Mus musculus: one gene and its partner. The protein of the gene in region 2 interacts with the protein of the main gene of each other region in a biochemical or structural test. Links are inferred from orthologs where the notes say so. Each region holds a gene or a part of one and is shown on either strand. Other genes may lie near its edges. The genes, in order: Hmga1b and Prkca.

Region 1 (10,502 bases), about 13 Mb from region 2:
TAAGAAAGCAGGCTGAGCAAGCCAGGGGATGCAATCCAGTAAGCAGCGTCCACCCATGGCCTCTGCATCAGCTCCTGCCTCCAAGTTCCTGTCCTGTGCGAGTTCCTGTCCTGTCTTCCTTTGGTGATGAACAGCAACGTGGAAGTGTCAGCTGAATAAACCCTTTCCTCCCCAGCTTACTTTCTAGTCATGATGTTTTGTGCAGGACTACAAACCCTGACTAAGACAGAAACTATGGTCCATTTATTTAAGCAAATCAGCCCAGCCTAGCTGATACAGAGGATGGGAGATCCTGGACCTGAGGGTGGGGATGGATGTGGGGTAGATCCACAGGGTAGAAGCAGAGCTGATGACCTGGGTTGAAGGCAGAGGTGTGGTGTGAGAGTGGATCCAGGGAAGTCTCCAGGGGTCTGTAGGTGCCATCTGGGCAGACTAGGAGGCCAGGTAGCCAGCATCCACCAGGATGCCACCGCCACTGGTAGAGGCACTTCTGTCGCTGAGCAGGAAGAGGATGCTGTTGGATGACGTCTTCAACCTCTGCAGGAGAACAGACCAGTCAAGGCTCTCTCCCTTGCTTGGCTGCTGACAAACCACATAGTTCCCCTCACCCACTGTCCCCAGCTGACCTGCGAACTTCCTCAGTGGGTGGCGCTCCTTGAGCTTCCTGGCAAACTCAGGGTCTGCAGAGACTTTCTTGCCCATGTCAGTCAGCACCACAGTGGGGTTTACGGAGTTTACCCGGATCTGGGGCCAGAAGCCACAGCTGGTGGCACAGCTGAGGAAGGAGCCCTACCTGCCCAGCTCAGGACTCGCCGCCCCAGGACCGGCCTGATGAGCTTGCTTACTCTGTCCAGATGAACCCTGAGCCCAGTGCTCAGAGCCTTCTATAGTCCTCACCCTCAACCCCCAGCCCTGCCCCAGGTGCCCATCGCCTGTCCCTCAGGTGTGGCCCGGCCCCCTGTGCCTACCTTGTGTGGCCCTAGTTCCATGGCCATGGCTTTGGTCAACATAGTTAATGTGCCCTTGGTGGAGCCTGTGGATGTGTGTGAGTGTTGAGGACCCCTCAGTTATTCAGTCCTCCTTCTGGGAGGACCACACAGAACCTACTCCTGTTCCTACCACAATGCACTCACAGTAGGTGGTCAGGTCAGGATAGGTGACATAGGCCACCAAGCTGGAGATGTTAACAATGGATCCTGCCACTCCACAGTTAATCATGCCTCAGGCTACCATCTGGAAGTCAAGAGTTTAGGGCAAACATATGCATTATCCCACCCCACCCTCTCCAGGTTTGCATCTGGGCCACAGCCCTCCTGTCTCCTCACCTGAGACACCTGCAGAACAGCACACACATTTACAATGAAGGACCTAGCAGAAGGGGACTATCAGCCTACTGAGCCAGCCATCTTCAGTGACCCTCCCCAGCCTGCCTGCTCTCCCTGAGGGCCCACCTGTCAAAGATCTCCTTTGTAGACTCTATAAAAGGCTGCATCAGCACCACCCCTGTGTTGTTCACCAGCAAGTCCACAGGGCCGATACCACCCAGCTCCTTCTATGTGACCTCCTAGTCACCCAGGTCCACACACGGACTCTATCCCAGGACACTGTGGGGGACATTGGTGGCCTGAGACATTGTCTCAGCCAGCTTCTAATGTATTCTTGAGGGTGGAGAACAGGCCCCAGCCATGGCAGTCTCTGTGCCTTAACTCTTTGAAAGGCTGACCAGGTCTGCGTTGGTCCGAGTCAAAGCCACCACTTTGGCTCCTGAGGCATGCAGGGCCTTCACAGTACACTGTCTATTCCCTGTAGGAGAATGGTGGAACAAGGGCCTTGTAGGCCTGGTTACAGAAGGATCTGGGTCCTGGAAGGGTTAAGTAAAGACTGTTGCTCCAAGCAGCGCAAGTGTGCTGACCAAAAGGCTGTAAGCCAGGGTGAGGTAGGACTATCCCCTTGTCAGAGGCCAGACAGACTGGTATCAGGTCAAAGAAGACAGTCCCCTCATGCTCATGATGGTGTCCCAGAGAAGGGTGACTAGTGCCCATCTTCCCAGCCTGGACCTAGGAACTGCCTTGATGCCGAGCCCAGCTTGTCCTTCAGAGTGGAGCACGTGGTAGCCAAGGAGAGGCTGGCAATCTGACCTGGTGGGCAGCAGGTCTCTGGCCAGGGGACAATGCTGAGGCTGGCCTCCTTCCTCTTTCCAGTCCAACTCCCCACCCGCTCACACTCACCTTTCCTCACTCACACACCTTCCCCTGATCACACTCACCTTTCCACACTCATCTCACTTCCCCGCTCACACTCACCTTTCCTGCTCACTCTCACCCCACTTCCTTGTTCACACTCTCTCCACTTTCCTGCTCACACTGACCTCACTTGCCTGCTCACATTCATCTTACTTCCCCGCTCACACTCACCTGCTTCCCTGCTCACACTCACCTTTCCCTGTCCCTGTCACCAGGGCCCTCAGCCCACTGAAATTCAGCTTCATGCTACTGACACCAGTGTCCTCCTGCAGTAAGGGGAGGGTTAAGGTTGTTAAGATGGAACTAGTGAGTGGGGCAGGGTTGGGGCAGACATTCTGCTCCCTCCTGGCAGCCCTCCTTGCTCCTCAGAAGTGCCAATCAGCTGCTCGTGCGGGACTTAAAGAGCCAATGAGAGCCGGGTGGGGGTGGCGCACGCCTTTAATCCCAGCACTTGGGAGGCAGAGGCAGGCAGATTTCTGAGTTTGAGGCCAGCCTGGTCTACAGAGTGAGTTCCAGGACAGCCAGGGCTATACAGAGAAACCCTGTCTCGAAAAACAAAAAACCAAACCAAAACAAAACAAAACGAGCCAATGAGAAGAAGTGTGCACACACATGTAGAACGTCTGACAAAGCAGTGGAAGCATGTGTGCACACACATGTGCCTGTGAGAGGGTCTGACACAGCAGTGTAGCGGGAAGGAAGGGGCAACCTAAAGAAGGAATCTGAATTTTCAGCAATGAGATGTGGAGTCTTGAACCCAGGGCCTGAGAGCATACTAAGCCAACGGTGCCCCATCAGTGATGCTCGGTGATGTGAGCCACACCCTCGGCCCAGGGCAGTGAGATTGCTGGGTTTGGAATTATCTGGACAGAAGCATCAGCTTGGGACTTTTTGTTTTGTTGTTATAAATGAAGGTAGTGATGTGATCTAGCTGGAGCAGGCACACTGGATTCCAATGCCCAGGGACCCAAGAACCCACCATGCCTGCAGTGTGTCTAGAGAGTCCCCTGGCTGTTCCCCTCAATCTGTTCCTCCCAGGTGCCCCTCACCTGCTGCCCCGTACCAGCCAGGAACTCCGCCTTTGGCAGAGACACTGAGGCACCGTCTTTACTTTGAGGCAGGACTCTTGTAAATCTTTTTTTTTTTTTTTTTTTTTTTTGACTGTCCAGAAAAGGCTATTTGTTTTTTATTCAAGTAACTGCAAATAAGAAACCAGGGAGGAAGCCCCAGGCTGGGACAAATACTGGCCACCCCTCCCCCACAGAACAAGGGGAGGTGGCCCTACACCCTTTTCCCATCAAAGTGGGCCCCCATCCTCACTCTGCTGCAGCATCCACGGGGTGGGGCCCCATCTTCCTTAGTGTGGGGTAGGTAACCAGTCTGCTGCGCCCCAGCCCCCCTTCCCCTCGAGTGTATTGTGTGGGGGAGAGAATACAGGCAAATTCAGGAGGATGAACATCTGACGCTGGTAGCAGCAGCAATAGTGGGTATCTAAGAATGAACATGGAACAAAAAAAAAACAACACAACCGTCCAGAGGTAGTTTGTGAACAGAGGAGAAGATGGAACCAGAACCATGGGGGGCAGGGAGGAGCGAAAAGGAGGGGGCGGCAAGGCTAGCTCCTTAGTGCCCTGCGGGAGGAAGGAACAGCCTAGAGTGGACTGGGGGAGGCGTGTTGGTGCCCGTTTGCCTTTGGTGGAGGCGAGAACAGGCCCTTACTCTGGAGATGGGCGGTAACCCCATCTGTCTAGTCTCAGGTGAGAACATTAAAGTGGGTGGAGCCAACATCATCCTACTTCCTGTTGTCAAGGGGCTCAGCCAACCCAGTGCATGATCTCTGTAGGGTGGGGCAGGAGGGGCTGAGAAACCCACCCGGTGATACTTTGGTGGGGACATGCTGGGATCTAAGCATCCCCTGCCCTGACCACACTGCTGCTGCTAGGTCAGCCACTGGGCCTTGTCAGAGTGAGATGGGGCCGGGGCCCCTTAAGGCCAGGGAATGCTCCCAGGACCCTCTACGGGGAAGCCAGGAACAGCAGGGCAGAAGGGACCCGCAAAACAAAGCGCCCAGAGAGCCACGGCTCTGAGGGAGGTGCGCAGCAGGCCGGGCTGCGGCTAAATGGGAAGTTAGCCTTGTCAGGATGGGGCAGGTGTGTTCGGGAGGAGGGCACAGGGACTGAGCCGAATCCTGCTCCCTTGGGTGCTGCGGAGCAGAGCCTGCAGCTGGTGCCTGGTGCGGTAGTGTGCAGTGGGGGCGGGGAGGGGCCTGGGAGCAGGGCTTCCAGTCCCAGGGGACAGCTGCTCCTCAGTGGCTATGGAGCAGGCGGCACTGCGAGTGGTGATCACTGCTCCTCCTCAGAGGACTCCTGGGAGATGCCCTCCTCTTCCTCCTTCTCCAGTTTCTTGGGTCTGCCCCTTGGTTTCCTCCCTGGAGCTGTGGTGACTTTCCGGGTCTTGGCGGCGCCCTTATTCTTGCTTCCCTTTGGTCGGCCCCGAGGTCTCTTCGGAGTTGGCACTTCACTGGGCTCTTTCTGACTCCCGACCAGCGCCGTCCCAGGACTCACCGGAGGCTGCTTGCGTGGCCTGCCCCGGCCTCGCTTCTCAGTCCCATCCTTTTCCTGCTTGGAGGCCAGGGGCTGGCTGGACTTTGAGCCCGACTCGCTCATTCTCCTTCTCTATGTGTGGGGCAGCACACAGTGAGTGCCTTCTTGGAGCCGCGCCAACACCAGAAATAGCCCCGACTCGGAGTCCCAATTAGAGGCGACTCTTGTAAATCTAAGCATGGATTCTGGGGTTTCCTGCCCCAGTTGCAAACCCTGAGTACCTCTGTGCATCTCCTCTTCTCTGAGCAGAGACCTGGTTCTTTGGAGCCAGTTAGGAGTAATCAGAGAATATTGTGCACCTCAACCCGTGTCTGGCGATTGTTTGAGGTGTGCTGAGGGTCTCTTGTCTTGTGTGTCAGGGTTCATGGAACAAGTACTCACGATCCAGTGAGTCATAGCAGGTCACACGACATCTGGGCCGGGCAGGAGGCTCAGATGCCTCATGGACAGCCCTGGGGAGGAGGTGTGCTCAGACTGCCGCCTTTCCCTTGCTCAGTCCAGGCTCTGCACTGAGACCGTGTGAGTCGCTGAAAGGAGGCAGCTGTACTTCCAGTGCTCTATAGTGCAGGGACAGCAGTACCCTTCCCCTGAGCATTCCTCCGCACTGGTCAGAAGGGTGCTCTGGGACCTTCCTGTGGCTCAGGGGACAGCATACACAGTGGGGGCCCGGAGCCCAATCATTTGCTGCTGCCTGGCAGTTTCCTCATAGCTAACAGGGACAGATCATGCCTGCTCACTGTGTCCTTGATCCCAGTCTGAGCAAACCACCAAGTCCTATAGCCAACCTCCAGGTGGCACTGAATACTGGTGTCTGGCCTGATCTATCCAGTAAGATCAAAGCCCTTCCCCTTCTATGACAAAAGCTGTGGATTGTGACCAACCTGCTGTCTGGTGGCCATCGGAACTCCTGGGAAATGGTGGCCTTTCAGGGATGCCAGTTGGCCACCAGGCAGGAGGAAGTGGTTTACCAGGAAGGGAGCATCAAGCTCCAACGTCTTGGGAAGACAGTCATCTGCTAGCTTCGCCCTTAGGAGCGCATTTCTCCTAAGATGTCTTCACCCTCCACAGCTCCTGCTCTATCTCCTGTCACCTATGTTGTCTGAAGACTTCTCTATCCAGAGTCATGTGCTGAGCCCTAACTACAACATTATGTGAGGACTGTTGTATAACAGTTTCCTTTGAAATTAAAACACCCCATCCTGCATGGAAGTTCCTTAAGTAGGGATGCAAACAACTCATATAGTTTCAGGAAGTTCCTGAAACTGACCAATTTCACAAGATCCCTTGCTGTCAGGGTAAGCAACAAAAGCTGAGAGTCTCTCTCAGACAAACCAAGCAGCAAAGAAGAAAGACTGCAGATCAGAGCCCAGAAGACGCAAAAGTCAGCTGAGTTACCTACCTACTGTCGTCATCTCCACTCCGAGCCGGTGGTGACAAGAACGACACAGGCACCAAGTCGGGTTCATGCAGCAACATCTTTACTTCAGGCTCTTTCTTTTACAGCTCTCTTCCCCAGCAGCTTCTTCTTAGGGGAAGGGCTAAACTACTCACTACTCTACTACTACTCACGGCAAGGGCTAAAACTACTCTTATTCACTACTTCTGGCTTCTACCTATCTTGCGTGCGCCGGACTCGACCAGCAAGAATGACGCTGCAACAGGATCCTGCACACGTTTATTGGGAGAGCTTGATTGCAGAGGTGAAAAGACCCCGAGCCCAGAACTGGTGCTGCTTTTATAGGCCTAGGAGAGGCGTGTCTCACACCTGGATTGGTTATGCACTACGCCTCATTTGCATGTTCCTCATCTGATTGGCTACTCTCTCTCAGTACCTCACAGAGCCTCATTATCATACCTCATTTGCATGTCTCACATCTGATTGGTTATACTCTCAGTACCTTACAGAACCTCATTATCATGCCCGGGCCAGGCAGTGTCTTTGCAAAAAACTTTACTGCATATGTACACATTGGTTGTTTGTCCAAACTTATGCGTGGTGGCCAGCAGTAGTCAGTGCCACTCTGCAACGGCACATGTGGCTTCCCACATACCTAGGGCAAGGGCTAAAAAACTCTCTTCACTACTACTGGCTTCTTTTACAATTGCTAGCTTCTACCACTTACAACAGCAGCTTTTACTACTCCATCTTTCTTGCAGCAAGGGCTAAACTCTTCTCACTACTCACGCCGACTCCTCCTTCTAGCTCCACCCCACATCATCCAATCAATCAGAATTCACACACACACACACACACACACACTCTCTCTCTCTCTCTCTCTCTCTCTCTCTCTCTCTCTCTCTCTCTCCAGGCACGAGCTTAGGTCGTTCACAGATAGGCTGACAGGTCTGGATCACGAGGAACTGTCCAGCCTGGCAGGCAGCCCACGCATGCAGCCTCACTGCGCATGCTCGGGCAAGGCAGTAAACAAGTGGGTTTGACGTGGCCTGCGGCCGCACCCACTTACCCCACAACCTACAAGAGGTTTAGACCAACTAAACCACATGAAAGAGATACTCTCCCACCTGTTGAGCTGCATTCAGGCTATGAATTGTGCTCCAGGTTTCCAGTCTTTGTGAGCTGTCACTGGAGCTGAGCTACAGTGAATGCCATCTGATCCTGTAAGAAATTCCTCACCAATACTCCCATAGGTAACCCCAATAAATCTCATGGCTCACCAAGCTTCCGGTGGTGTCTGTACACTGGTCTTTTATGGGCTACCTAATGGAGAGCGTGGATATGCATGTTGTGTCTCTCCAGGAAAAGTTTTGTCGAACAACAGAAGGAAAGGCCTTTGGGAGGAGTTTAGGGGAAACTAGACCCAGCAAGAAAACTGACATTAACCTTTTGGCCTCCAATCATGAGTGCACACACGTGCATCTGGCAGCAGACATGCTCACACCTGTGCAGATACACACAGACATTAAAACCAAGTGTCGGGGGCTGGCGAGATGGCTCAGCGGTTAAGAGCACTGACTGCTCTTCCGAAGATCCTGAGTTCAAATCCCAGCAACCACATGGTGGCTCACAACCATCCGTAATGAGATCTGACACCCTCTTCTGGTGCATCTGAAGACAGCTACAGTGTACTAATGAATAATAATAAATAAATCTTAAAAAAAAACAAAAAACAAAAAACAGAAAAAACCTAGTGTCGCAGAGTGTAGTGGTTCCCACCTACAATTTCAGCCCTTGGAGTCAGAATCATAGCTTTAAGTTTGAGGCCAGCCTGGTCTATGTTGTGAGTCCTAGGCCACCCAGAGCTACATAGCAATACCCTGTCTCAATCCCACTACTGGTGATTTATATGAGAATGGTCCCCACAGGCTCGTAGTTGAAAGCTTGGTCTCCAGTTGGTGGAACTGTCTGAGAAGGATTAGGAGGTGTGGCCTCACTGGAAGAGGTGTGTCACTGCTGGTAGGCTTTGAGGTTTCAAAAACCCACCTCATTCCCAGGTGGCTTTTTCTCTCTCTGCCATCTGTGGATCACATGTAAGCTCTCAGCTGCTGCTCCAGCACCATGCCTGCCTGTCTGCCACCATGCTTCATTCCATGATGGTCATGGAAACTAACCTTCAGGAACCATGATCCCCCAATGAAATATTTTCTTCTATGAGTTGCCCTGGTCGTGGCAACAGAGAAGTAACTAAGACACCACTCCTACACACAATCATCAAACCATGAGTGGACTGTGCTTGGAGCTGACTGAAGCCATGTCCTTTGACAGGCTGTCTGCCAAAACTTGCCAGATGGCAAAGCAGCATGGGCTGCAGCCTGGACCATGTGTGTGTCTTCTCTTTCCCTTGGGCCAACAGAACTGGCACTGACAGGTATTTTGTGTGTGTGTGTGTGTGTGTGTGTGTAGGCATAAGGACAATGACAGTCTACAGCCCTGTACATGGGAGCTGGAGAGAAGGCTCCATGGTGAGAGCATTTGCTGTTCTTGCAGAGGACCAGGGTTCAGTTCCCAGCACCCACATGGCAGCTCACAACCATCTGTAACTCCAGTCCCAGGAGATAAAGCTCTTTTCTGCTCTCCATAGGCATTGCATGCATGTGGCCCACTAATATACAAGCTGAAAAAACACTCATGCACATCAAATCAAAATAAATAATAGCACATTTCTTTAAGGCAAACACTAGGGAGGCAGGCATAGGCAGATCTCTATGTGTTTGGGGTCATCCTAGTCTATATAGAGAGGCCTTGTCTCAAAAAAAAATTCAAAATTAACGTAAAAAATTTCTTAAAATCATGTTTATAATTTTCCATGATCCAAAAAGCCTTAAACAGCACCATTCCCTTTGCATGTTAAGCGTCCAGAGGCAGCACCCTAGTTCTGACCACAGTAGGGACATCCCAATTGGTAGTGTCCTGAACATCTGTGGGATTTACTTATTTAATGCTTTGGAAGGCGTTAACATATCTAGTTATTTAGTGTGCATGTGTGTGGAGGGGGTAATGTGGTACACACATACCAAAGCACACATGAAGGTCAGAGTATAACGTTAGGAAAGGCTTGGTTCTGTCCACCCTGTAGCCAGGCTGAGTAGCAATCTCTTGTATCAGGTAAACTATCTTTCTGCCCACAGCCAGGGGTGGGGAGCCTTGTGCCAGCTCTGAGCAGGTAGTCAAGGACCAGCAGAATATCTTTACTCCTTCAGGCTTATTATTTATTATTTTATGTGTGGAGTGTTTTGTCTATCTATATATCTGTGTACTCAAATTACAGATGGTTGTGAGCTGCCATATGGGTGCTGGGAATCGAACCCAGGTCCTCTGGAAGAGCAGCCACTGCCCTTAACTACTCTTTTTCAAAGTACATGTGACCATGAGGGTGGGTTCTATAGCTTCAAGGCCTATAATTTTGTGTAGTCTCTGACAGATAGCACGAAGGTCAGCTGGCCATAAAGGACATGTGACATCTCCCCTAAGGATGGTTAGCAGTGTTTTGTAGGAAAGAGTCTGAGATAATCACTTTTGGGAATTTGGGTAAGGTCTGCCTTTATAGCCAAAGATAGGAGAGGTCTGCCTCCACAGATAGCAAAAGGGTCACCAGGTCATTACGAAAATCCACTCTCAGCCTTGTGGATAGAATGCAGGTGTTCTATCTCCTTCATCGAGAGGGCCCTGCAACCCTTGAAAGATCCTGACAGAACGTAAAAGGACACAGAAGCCCTGAAATTGGCAAGATAGACGTCAGTGTTAGCAGAACTAGCTTCACTGATTTAGAAAAATAGAGGTGCACAATGCTCTTGCCACTCCTTGAACCTGTGTGTCTGCCAATGTTCTGACCAGGTGTGTGCTCATAGCTGCACCTTCATTAGACTCTTTCCTTGTACCCCTCCCATACCCATTTCTTGAGAATAGACATTGTTTAGATCTGGAAATCCCCTAATCTCCCCCTTCTCCTTTCCCCCCGAGGGCCTATAAAAACTGGGAACTCTTTCCCCTTGAGGTCGACTCCTCTGCCCCTTCGTGAGATATGAGTCGTCCCCAGAGCTCTGGCTTTCCCCGAATAAAGCCTCATGTGGTTTGCAACAAGCTCGGTCTGTCGTGAGTTCTTGGGTGTCCGCTATTGTCCTGAGGCCTGAGCGAGGGGCTCCTCTCGGAGTCTTTCATTTGGGGGCTCGTCCGGGATTGGCATAACCACCCACGTCT
Region 2 (10,696 bases):
GGTAATCTTTCACGTGACCATCTCAGACCAAGCTTCCGGAAAACTCTGGGCCTCCTGAGTTTCTCAAATTACTAATAAAAAAGACTAAATTAAAGAAAAGGCTACTAGCTCAAACTAGGCCACAGAGGTAGGAGGGTGAAGGGCAATCAGTTTAGCTCCTGGGGCTTCTCTTCTGCCTTCTGAATTAGCTGCTGCCTGGGGTAAGCCTCCCATTAACTCCTGGGGCTGCACCTGGCAGCATACTCCAGCTCTTTCCATTCAACCCAAGCACCAGGTAACTTTAGATGCCACACTGAAGGCAGAGCTAGCAGCCCACCGGCCTGTGGTGGAACAGGGAAGAGCTGCTCCTGGGAAATGGCCACCTTCCAGGGGAATATAATACAAAATTATTTCAATGGATTTTCTGGGTCACGGCCTGATGGGTCCCTGTGGAGACTTGGATTGTGCTAGGTTCTCCTCCACAGACCCTGCCAATGCAGGCACAGCCTGAGAGCAGGTACATTCTAAATAGTTCCCACCCCTGCCCCTGGGGATTAAACCCTTCAAGGCACCCTCCTGGTTCTGGCCTCCTGCTTGGTTGCTTCAGTTCAAATGGCAGATGTTTCCCTGTAGCCCTGTTTCATACAAGGTCTGTGAAGTGGGACAAGGATGTAGAATAGTATCAATTGATCCTGCCTAACAGCTGCTAGTGGTTATCCAGGTGAGTTAGTTTTGTAGCAAAAGTTGTCTCTGCTGTCCAGATCTTTAAAGTACTAGCCTTCATCTGAATTTAACCCTCAGCAGTGTATAGAATAGGCAGCATCATGAACACGTCCTTAAATTTTTATCATCTCTCCTAAGTTTGTTCTCCAGTGTTCTGTTCCTTAGGCAATTGCTGGTCTGTGGCTCTGTTATTTCCCTCCTCCAGTGTGAGAATGTTGGTGGGTATTCTCTAAGCGTACAAGCCATCCAAGGAACCGCACACATTTTCTAGAGAAGTTGAATCACTCGGAGCTGGATGCTGGCGGTTTAAGGAAGAACCCAAGCCTGCTACTGGCATGAGAGTCAGGCAGCTTGGCACCTCAGGGTGGATTGTCTACGAACCCTGTGCTCCTTCTCTGTGGTTTCCCCCACTTTGAGAGGTTCAGCTTCCTGTTGCTGTCCCACCTGGGAAGAGCAATGCTTTCACTTCCAAGGCTCATTGATAAGCCAGTTCCTTTACAGTTGGACTGAGTACAGTGTTTTTGATAAGGCTAGGTTACCAAGATGGTGAACTTGACTTCTGAGATCCATATATGACACCCTTCCCCACTTTTTGAGGTCTGAAGTCCAGAATTCATGAAAGATTGCAGAAGAAACTGCTCTTTTCTGGTTTGGCCCACTCTCGACTCCATATCTCCTTCTGATTAGGGATTTTCAGAACAGCCTATGCTCCGTATCTCAAAGACTCTTGGTGGGTTGCAGGGTATGTGACTGTCAAGCAGATAGGTGGAGAATAACAAAGAGGAGAGCCTAGCTGTGAGATGATTTCGATAGAGGTGCCTTCTCTAAGGACTGGTAGGAACTCCTTTTTCACTTATCCTTTATGCTGCAGAAGCCTGCCTCTTCTAAACACCTTGTATTAGGAGGCATTTGGACAAAGGCATGCTCTTCAAAGACCGGAATGTTCTAGGAACCGCTTTAAGACAGTATGTGCCTCTGAAGAGAGTCTGTTGGCAACAGCTTCAGAGATGGCTCTACACAGGCATGGAGATAAAGTTTGTCTCAAGGATTCTGTGTGTTCTGAAGTACACAGTGAGTTATTCTGGGGCAGAAAGACAGACTACATATTTTTGGGTGTCCATATGCACACACAGAAAGGAGTTCTCTCACCCCTTCATCCCTAGAGACCCCAAAGACATAGGCTGAAAAGTACCAGACAGACAGACAGACAGACAGACAGACACACACACACACACAATTCAGCCTAGGTGCTGTAACAATGCCACATATATATGAACATATCAGGAATACTGGAATTAAATATATTCAGCTGTCCCCAAGAGAAGGGGTGATAAAGGAACTTGAACAGAGGATAACATGAAGAAGTTAACAGAGTCTTATCTCAAAAAATAATCCCCACAAACAAAACCGGGGTTTGTAGGTAGAATCAAATATATATATATATATATATACATATGTACACATATATAGTAAAACCCTAGTTAAACGTGTAAAGTAGCCATTCATTTTTAAAATTACATCTACATTAAAAAATTAATATATCTGATAGAGTGCCAGTGTGTGGAGTAGCGGGTGAGAGCCCAGCAGCAATGAATAAAGCTAACACTTAATCTTAAAGCAGACTGGAAACATGAGCGTCACAAATATAGCACAATTGTGTCTTATAAAAATTATCATAATACTCTTTATAGTTGATACAATTATATCAATAATATAGATTAACTCGTTATTAAGGTTTATTATAAACATGCAAAATCCATTGCATGATGCACTCGCAAAACATATTAAAATCCTTCTAGCAAGACAACATCTTTGAGTTGATATCAGCATAAAGTATCTTGATCCTACAGTTCCACATGTGCCGTTCAATAGGAACTGAGAATGGGAACCCAAACTATGCTCTTTTTCATCTCTAAGTGGATGTGGGGCGAGAGAAAGGAGGAAAATCAATCTAGAGGGACTGAGGCTAGTCAATACTTTGACTAAATTACTATACATTGTACTTCCATAAACGACACTGCAGCTTATTAAATAAATAGTAAAAAAAGGGGGGGGGATGGGGTCATACATTTCAGCTTCTTAGGAAGGGTACCTACAAAGGTAGCAAAATATTGTGTGTGTGGGGTTGGCTAACAACACTCGTGAACAGTGGCATGATTACTGATGGCACCCTGGATTGAAGAGTCATCTCCCAGAGATTAGAATGAACGTACACATGGTTTATCCTTGATCTGAAATGATTTCACATGCTTGTTTAGCAAAGTCCTTAGATGATTTGGCCTCTTAAAAAGAATGAGTTATAGAGATTGTTATCAACCAAGCAGGGGATTACAGATGGTAGATTCAGTGAATATTTGTCTGAAGTTTTCTTTCCTTCTTAAACTGTGCACTATGGTTGTGCTATGATGACTGGGAACAGTGATCAGGTTCATCCTGCCCTCTCTGAGTCTAGGGACTGTTTCCATTGAAAAGGAGAATAGAAGCTATGTGGTCTTGAATATATGAGCCCCCAACCTCTCTTTGCTTTCTCTTTGGACTTCCTGTTCTTTTGTTCCAAAGACATCTTGGGTGGAAGTGTTTCCTTGAGTTTCCTTGAGTTAGGGTGAGTTCACTTTACTATCTCTGGTCGATTCTGATAGTGAAAATCCAAGAAATGGAAAGTATGGAGAATATATCAAATCGTACAAAAAAAATAGGGTCCAAGTCGCTTTGATTTTTTTTAGGAAGAATCAACTTGTAGCTGACATGACTTCTACATAATTAAACTATACTCTGTACTTTATGTCATCATCCACTAAGATAATGCTTTTGGTTGGGGGGTGAGGAAAAAAGTTGATCATGTATTGACTAATGTCCCTAGAATTTCCAGGCCTCTGTGTGGAACAAAATACAAGGCCATAGCCTTAAATTTTTATGGTTAAGGATCATTTCCCACTGCTGGGGATGCTGGGGGCTGGGGAGGCATTTGATCTTTCATTTTTGAGTTTCATACTGCACTTTGCAAGATTGGGTGCACAAACTGGGGGTTGACATACGAGAACCCTTCAAAATCAGATTGGTCTATGTTAGCAATGACCAGCTGATCTGGTGGTGTTAAGACAGGCTGTCCTCGCGTGAAGAACTTGTCAAAGTTTTCTGCTCCTTTGCCACACTGTAGGGGAAAAAAAAAGAAAAAAAGAAAAAGTCAGAAGATACAAATCACAGAAGTCGTTTACTGAGAGCCTGGAAGGGTGTGCCACAGGGAAATTGGCCTGGCTGGGCAGGAAGACTCTTGGAGGATTTACAGGCCTACTGGAATCAGAAGCCAAGCATAGCAAACAACAGATAGTTACTTGATTGTAATTCTTCTCATATGATAATTCTGAGAATATTCTCAGAATGAAAATCCTAAATGGAAATGCACTGTTGTTTACAACATAGCAAAAAGACAGCCTCTCTTTCTTCAATATTACCTCATTGAGCAAGCAGAGCTATTAGCATGAATGATGCACACACAGGGCCATCTGTCATAGCTCCATGTTGAAAAGGCCATGCTATTGATTGTGCCTGTAGGTACCCATGAATTGACAAGGTGTGGTTACTGTCTCATATTTGGTTCTTTGTAGTAATATTTATAATCAGACAGAAGCTGTGTGTCTTTGACATGTAACTGGCATGTTTTAGAAACTCTAGCTCTCAGAGTAATCTTAAAGCAGTATGGGGTAGGTACAGTGAGAATGTAGGGGATGAGTTCTTGCCCTAAGCAAGAATTATGCATAACTGGATAGAGCTGGTCAAGTGGCAGGCAAGTCAACATGGAGCTCATTCACAGCATAGTTTTAAGACAGGAGAAGATATGCACAGGTACCCTGAGGAGGCACAATAAAGTCTGTGATCTGTCTTGAATATTATCGTCCTTTAGGATCCACCAAGGCATTCTTTGCAAATGGAGGCTTTTGGCATAGCTTCCCTGTGATTGTCTAACCAGCCAGCTGCTTATGCAGTAGTGCATGGGAGTCTTACTCAACTCGTAGTCAATTATACAATTTAGAGTTATACAACACTTATTGCATGATGCCCTTGCAAAACATTAAACTCCTTTTAGGAAGGAAAGAAAGGAATATCCCCACTTTTCCAAATACCTAGAAAGGTTGTGGCACATCAAAGTCTCTGGGGCTTCCAAGGAAGAACTGGGGTTTTACTGATGCTACTAATGATGCAGAGCATGCTGCAAACCGTCACTCTTTTATCTTCTGGTAGCATAACTGGAGCAACATGAACTCATGTTAAGTCAGCATACATTTTAACCTAATGCGGAATTCTTGGCTCTCTAACAGAGGACAGTTCTAGGTAACCTGTGAGGTTCTGTAGAGTTGAGAAAGGAACTGTATCTCCCTCCTCATGACACTACAAAGGTTAATGTGCGCTTGGTCAGAGTTCAACACACATTATTTATTTCTTTAAAATAAGATCTTTCATGCTCATGGGTTGTATTTTCTCACCTACTTCCCCAATGGGTTTTCTAGAGAAACCCATTTCATTATAATTTTCCATTTTCCCTGCAGTAAATACAACACACTTCTCAGTGTCTGTGGAGATAGAAAACATATGCTAACTTCAAAGTAAGGTCTTCAAAATCAACAGTGTCCTTTCCCAATATCATTTTCATTTAATAAATAGCCACTGTACTCTGAACTCAAGGACATTTTACACTTCAGTGATGGGGTGGCTCTGGGTGTGTGTGTGGTGCATACATGGTTAGGGTAGGCTTCTATATTGTTATGTTGTGGGGAACAGAGTGTCCTCAAGTCACTCTGTGGAGTCCATACAGGTTATGAAGCACCCTCTACATTTTAGTCTGGCTCCTCTATGTGGAGCCACAAAACTTTGGCTTTCAAACTGTATATTCCCATGATGTTTTTCTTTGCAAGAATCCAAAGCACTTCAAAGCAAAGGTCAGCAGAGGCAGAGCCACATGCAGAGGATACCACTGAAAAGGGCTCTGTAGGAAGCAAGTAAGGAAATGCTGTTTCTTCCCAGGAAATAATCAGGAGTCTATATTTTTGATTCATAAATCACATGAACAACAGAAGCTGGTTTCCATTAAGATAATACAGTCAACTCTACTGCAATGATATAAACATCTAAAGAAAAAGTTGTCTCTTTGGTAAGACTTGATTTTCAACCAGGTAAAAGTTTTCCTCCAGGAAATCCATTTTCATAAAATTGCCATAACTTGGACAAGGGATGCCATTGTCAACTAGTGGTTAGAGGGGGATACTGCTAAATATCCTAAGATGAATGATTTCCCCATTCCCTTAAATATTTATTGGCTCAAAATATCAATAGTGCATCTGTTGGAAAACACTAGACTCCATATATCTAGACTGTAATGAGAGGTCCTGTGGTTGGTGTGAAGGGGCCAAGCATGAAAATTAGGCAAAAGCAACCATGTGTGGGAGTAGAGCATGGAGAATTTGTAGAAGGCCAAAGAAAAATGATGTAAGCAATGTTATATAGCCCTATAGGGTTGGCTTTGAGGAACACTCCCTTTTGGTGATGGATGTGTAGCAACTACCTGGAAGAACTCAAGTGCAGTGCATTTACTGTGGATGCTTTTAGAAGGTGGGCATGAGAACACTTAAGAAGACATCATTTGTCAACTTTCTGGTACTGACAATGCAAAGAAGAGCAAGAAGGAGATTCTAAGGAGAGAGAGAGAGAGAGAGAGGGAGAGGGAGAGAGAGAGAGAGAGGGAGAGAGAGAGAGAGAGAATATGTGTCTCTACAAGGCAGAGCAAGGCTAGCCAAGGTAAATGTTCTATTTGCCTGCCTGTCTAGCATTGCATTTATGGATTTGTTCTTTGAAAAGTTTATGTTGTGTGGTCCTTTATTTGAATACTGTCTCTCTGATGCTCACAAATTAGTTTGCAGTGAGAAGTTTCTTAGTACTATGGGATCTACTGCCAAAGAGTCCTTAAAACCTACAAAGAGGATCCACGTGAACACTGAGGAAGGTGGGGTGGGAAGAGCACATCAAATTCTACAGCTATTATTCCAAGAAGAGTTATTGCTAAGGCAGCTAGTATTCCAAGAAAAGTTATTGCTAAGGCAGCTAGTGCTTATAAAGCCAAAAATTGTAATGGGATGGAAAAACTCTTTGAATCCTCATGGTGTCAGTACTGAAGACTATGTAGCTAAGGGGAAAACATGGATCACCAGTAAATTAAATCCCTGCTCTGTGGTCACATTGAAAGGCCATGTGTCTGTTAGTCTCAGAATTGCTCCCCACCACAGACGCCTTTCTCTTCTCTCACCCCAACTTTCCTTGGAATTTTCCATTGCTCAAAGAGAACGAGAGAGGGAGAGAAACCATATTATGGCAAATGAAGGCTTTTCTTAAACTGACTCAATTTAGGTAAAGAGACCAGAGGAAAGAGCAGGCTGAGTTCAGAGAATAAAAATTAAATCACTGAAATTAAAATATATCAACCATGAGACAAAAAAAAAAAAAAATCAAAACCAACCAACCCAAACCAACCCCCCCCCTCAAACAAAAGCAATGAGGGGTGTGACTATAACTTAGCAAGAAATGGGGATAACAGCCTTTGTAAAACTGGGGGTTGAGTCTGAAGATGAAATACAAGACTCAGAAGTTGTCTTATTCCGACTGTTGTCATATGAGAGTGAATGATATCCCAAAAGGCAGCAGAAATATTTTAATCATAAATCTCATATTGTAAAAAATATAAATTAATCATACACTGAGAAAAAGTATCTCAAAAATGAACTTTCTATGCTTCTAAGCAAAACCAGGCCCAGAAACAGACAATCTCTTTTAGGAAAACTGGAGAAGATCTTGAACTACTATTTAAAGATGTTATGTAGAGATCTTAAATGCTACCAGCAAAACCAGATAAGGATTATAGCAATCAGATTTCTTTGGATGGTTGTGCAGAAGATAATATATTTAAGAATCTATTGTTCACTGCCTGTGACCCAGCCTTGAGATCATCAATTTGATGGGTAGAGAGCTGCCACCTTGGAGCAGTGTAGGGAATAAGAGATGGGAGGGGGCACCCAAGTGGCATCTGTGGATCAGCAAGTTAATGAGTGGCATAGGAAGCTGGCTTGGCTGCAGATGTTTTCCCAAAATTATTATAGCCATTTAAAGGACAGTCTTCAATAGCAGCTAGAACAACAGGCAAATCTGGGTTGTTTGTGACCTCTGAGATATAGTCTACTAGACCTTCAAAGCAGCTAAATAATCTTATGAACAATGCCTCTGGAATGAATAGACATGATATTCACCTCCAAAGGCCCCCAACAACTTTCACTAGTGGAAACTTCTGTCAGAAATGTGACCCAGGACAAACTCAGAAGAGAAATGGGGAGCTGGTGTGTGAACCCAGGCAGGTCCCTTGGTCTCCTTGGGAACAGCTTGTGTCTAATGCTCAGTACTGACACTTGAGGAGGGACAGCAGAGTGAAGGACCAGGCCAAAGATCAAGAGGCCCAGGTGTAGCTTTAGGAATTTCATTGCATGTCCCTTTAAAGGTAAAATGGGGATGTGACCACCCACCTTCCAAGGCTCTGGTGAGAGCTAAAGGACCTAGCATGTGTGAGGTCTTTCTAAATGATGAGACGTTATACAGAGAGAAGATATAAACATGAACCAATAGCCCTGCATGCAAATAGATGATATTTGAAGAATGAATAAATGCTATTAGCAATCTGCCTTCTCTCTTATCTCTTCATTAAGGAATTAAAATCTTTGTCATTTTTGATATCTCTACCCAAATTATTAGTTTTAATCATTAATCATCAGCTAGACATGATCTAGTACCACCTGGGAAGGCAGTCTCAATGAGAGATTATCTAGGTCAGGTTGGCCTGTGGATAAGTCTATGAGGGATTATCTTGATTACACTGAGGAAGCTCTGTCTACTGAGGGTGACACCATTCCCTAAGCCAGGCATCCTGAACTATGTAAGAGCGAGAAAAACAAGCTGAGTATGAACAGGCATGCACTCTTTCTCTTCTCTTCATCCTGGATATGACCAGCTAGTCCAAGTTTTTGCCACCTTGATTTGCCAAAAATAATGGACAGTGAGTTAAACGAACCCCTTCTCCCTTAGGTTGCTTCTGTCGGGGTATTTTATCACAGTGACAGAAGAGGAACCAGGATATCACCCATTTAGTAAATTAACCAATCAGTAAAGTGAACTCAGGAGGAATCACACATAGTAAAGATGTTGCAGAGCATAGCATGATGTAGACCCTAGATGGGATCTGGGTTGCAAAGTTCTGTGCCCACATCCTGCATGGCAAGCAGCCTTCCAGACCCTTTTGTTCCATGACAGAGTGGAGGGAGGAGACTGAGCTGTGCTGCGTGCGGGGCATGGCTTCTTGCCTGTGAGTCTTACTCCTTAGAGGCACTGTGCACAGCGGTACATGTGTGGGTCTACACTCTATGGTGTCCCAGGAGTGTTAGATACAGCTCCATGGTCACTGGCATGGAAACATGAGTGGTTACAGAACGATGACCACTGGGAAGCAAAATCACACAAATCCCAAACGGATAGCCAGAGTGCAGAACAAATGAAGCATAGAGGTTAGCTGCGAAAGCACAGAAATAAAAAGAAAATGTAGGGGTCCCGGGAGGGCCTCTTACAGTTGCTAGATATGGCAGGCTGTCCTCGGCATTGGGAGAATGCTTACCTATATTGAAGACTATAGCACTGTGTTGTACAGTCTGAACATTTATGAGAATACCACCCATTCTCTGCACAGTTCCCTGTGTATCTTTGTGTGGGTTAAATGGCCAGTGGCAGACACAGGCTGGGGTAACCTGCCTTATTCTTCCTGGGAGGCCAGGTCAACTGTGTGGAAGAAGCCTTTGGGGTGGGGCCTCTGGCTACTTGTCTGCCCTTTCCATGAAGGTCAGCATGCTTAGGGAAGGTCTTGATGCACGATGAGGGCAAGCAGCTGCACACGGTTAATGGTGAAAAGTGAGGTTAGTTTGCTTAGTCACTCAAGGTTCTGCTCACCGAAGGCCTGGATGCCCACTGAAGCCAGTGCATTTTGGTACAGAAAGTCTGGAGAATAAGAACGGACAGAGGAGAGGAATTGGAGATGTCGAGAATCAGGAACGGCTGTATGGAGAATGCCGTGAACCCACGAACCTCTGCAGTATATTGCTAAGTGAAAGATGCAAGATGCAAAATGCCATACTGTCTCCTTATGTACGGGTTTACACATGCATGTCACATTCTGGAAGGTCACAGAAAAGGTCATGAATTGTGGGACTAGAAGTTAGGGTTGGGGGGAGGCCATCTTTCCTTTTCTATTCTTACCACTTGGCTGATGGTTTGGCTGTAAATGGATAGTATTTTAATGGTAATAACTGCCTGAAAGATACCGAGACTTTCTCTACTTCTGGCCAACATTCCCTGGGATGAAGGACTAGAGAAGGGCTTTGGTTTCATGGACACCATTAGACACACTCAGCTTGCCTATTGCCTTAGAACATTATCTCAGGAAGGGGAAATGCTGTTTGGAAGGAATCTAATTTTATCCATGAGTTTGTTGATAGATACAGGATGTAAATCCACATGAACGAGTGCATTCTTAGTCAAGCATGATAGCACATTCCTTTTATCCTAGCACTCGGGAGGCAGAGGCAGATAGATCTCTGAGTTCAAGGAGGCTAGCCTGGTCTATATAGTGAGTTCCAGATAAGCCAGGGCTACATAGAGAAACACTATCAAACAAAACAAACAAGAAAGTGAGTGCACTTGTATGTTTATGTGCATGTGTGTGTGTGTGCATGTGCATGTGGTATGTGTGTGTACGCAAACAGGTACACTTGTATACATGCAGGTGAATGAGCAGTCTGTGTTCATGTAGGCCAGAGGACAATCTGCTTGTCTGGGAGAATGGCTGCGTGCTACCACATCTGGCTCTTTTCAATGAGCACATTCCTGAATGTATAAAGTATAAAAGCCCAAGCATGTA

What was found.
Region 1: of the proteins of Prkca (region 2) and Hmga1b, one has a biochemical effect on the other in vitro, tested with the Homo sapiens proteins (2 studies listed by BioGRID). The link is inferred for Mus musculus from reciprocal best matches to the Homo sapiens genes PRKCA and HMGA1.

Annotation. Positions count from the first base shown.
Region 1 is NC_000077.6:120,757,296-120,767,797, reverse strand, and holds Hmga1b (high mobility group protein HMG-I/HMG-Y), read right to left. Parts: upstream 5,005-10,502; 5' UTR 4,910-5,004; coding exon 4,808-4,909; coding exon of another isoform or gene 4,775-4,807; coding exon 4,586-4,774; 3' UTR 3,406-4,585; downstream 1-3,405. UniProt on the Homo sapiens protein: HMG-I/Y bind preferentially to the minor groove of A+T rich regions in double-stranded DNA. It is suggested that these proteins could function in nucleosome phasing and in the 3'-end processing of mRNA transcripts.
Region 2 is NC_000077.6:107,935,828-107,946,523, forward strand, and holds part of Prkca (protein kinase C alpha type), read right to left. Parts: intron 3,854-10,696; coding exon 3,689-3,853; 3' UTR 1-3,688. UniProt on the Homo sapiens protein: Calcium-activated, phospholipid- and diacylglycerol (DAG)-dependent serine/threonine-protein kinase that is involved in positive and negative regulation of cell proliferation, apoptosis, differentiation, migration and adhesion, tumorigenesis, cardiac hypertrophy, angiogenesis, platelet function and inflammation, by directly phosphorylating targets such as RAF1, BCL2, CSPG4, TNNT2/CTNT, or activating signaling cascade involving MAPK1/3 (ERK1/2) and RAP1GAP.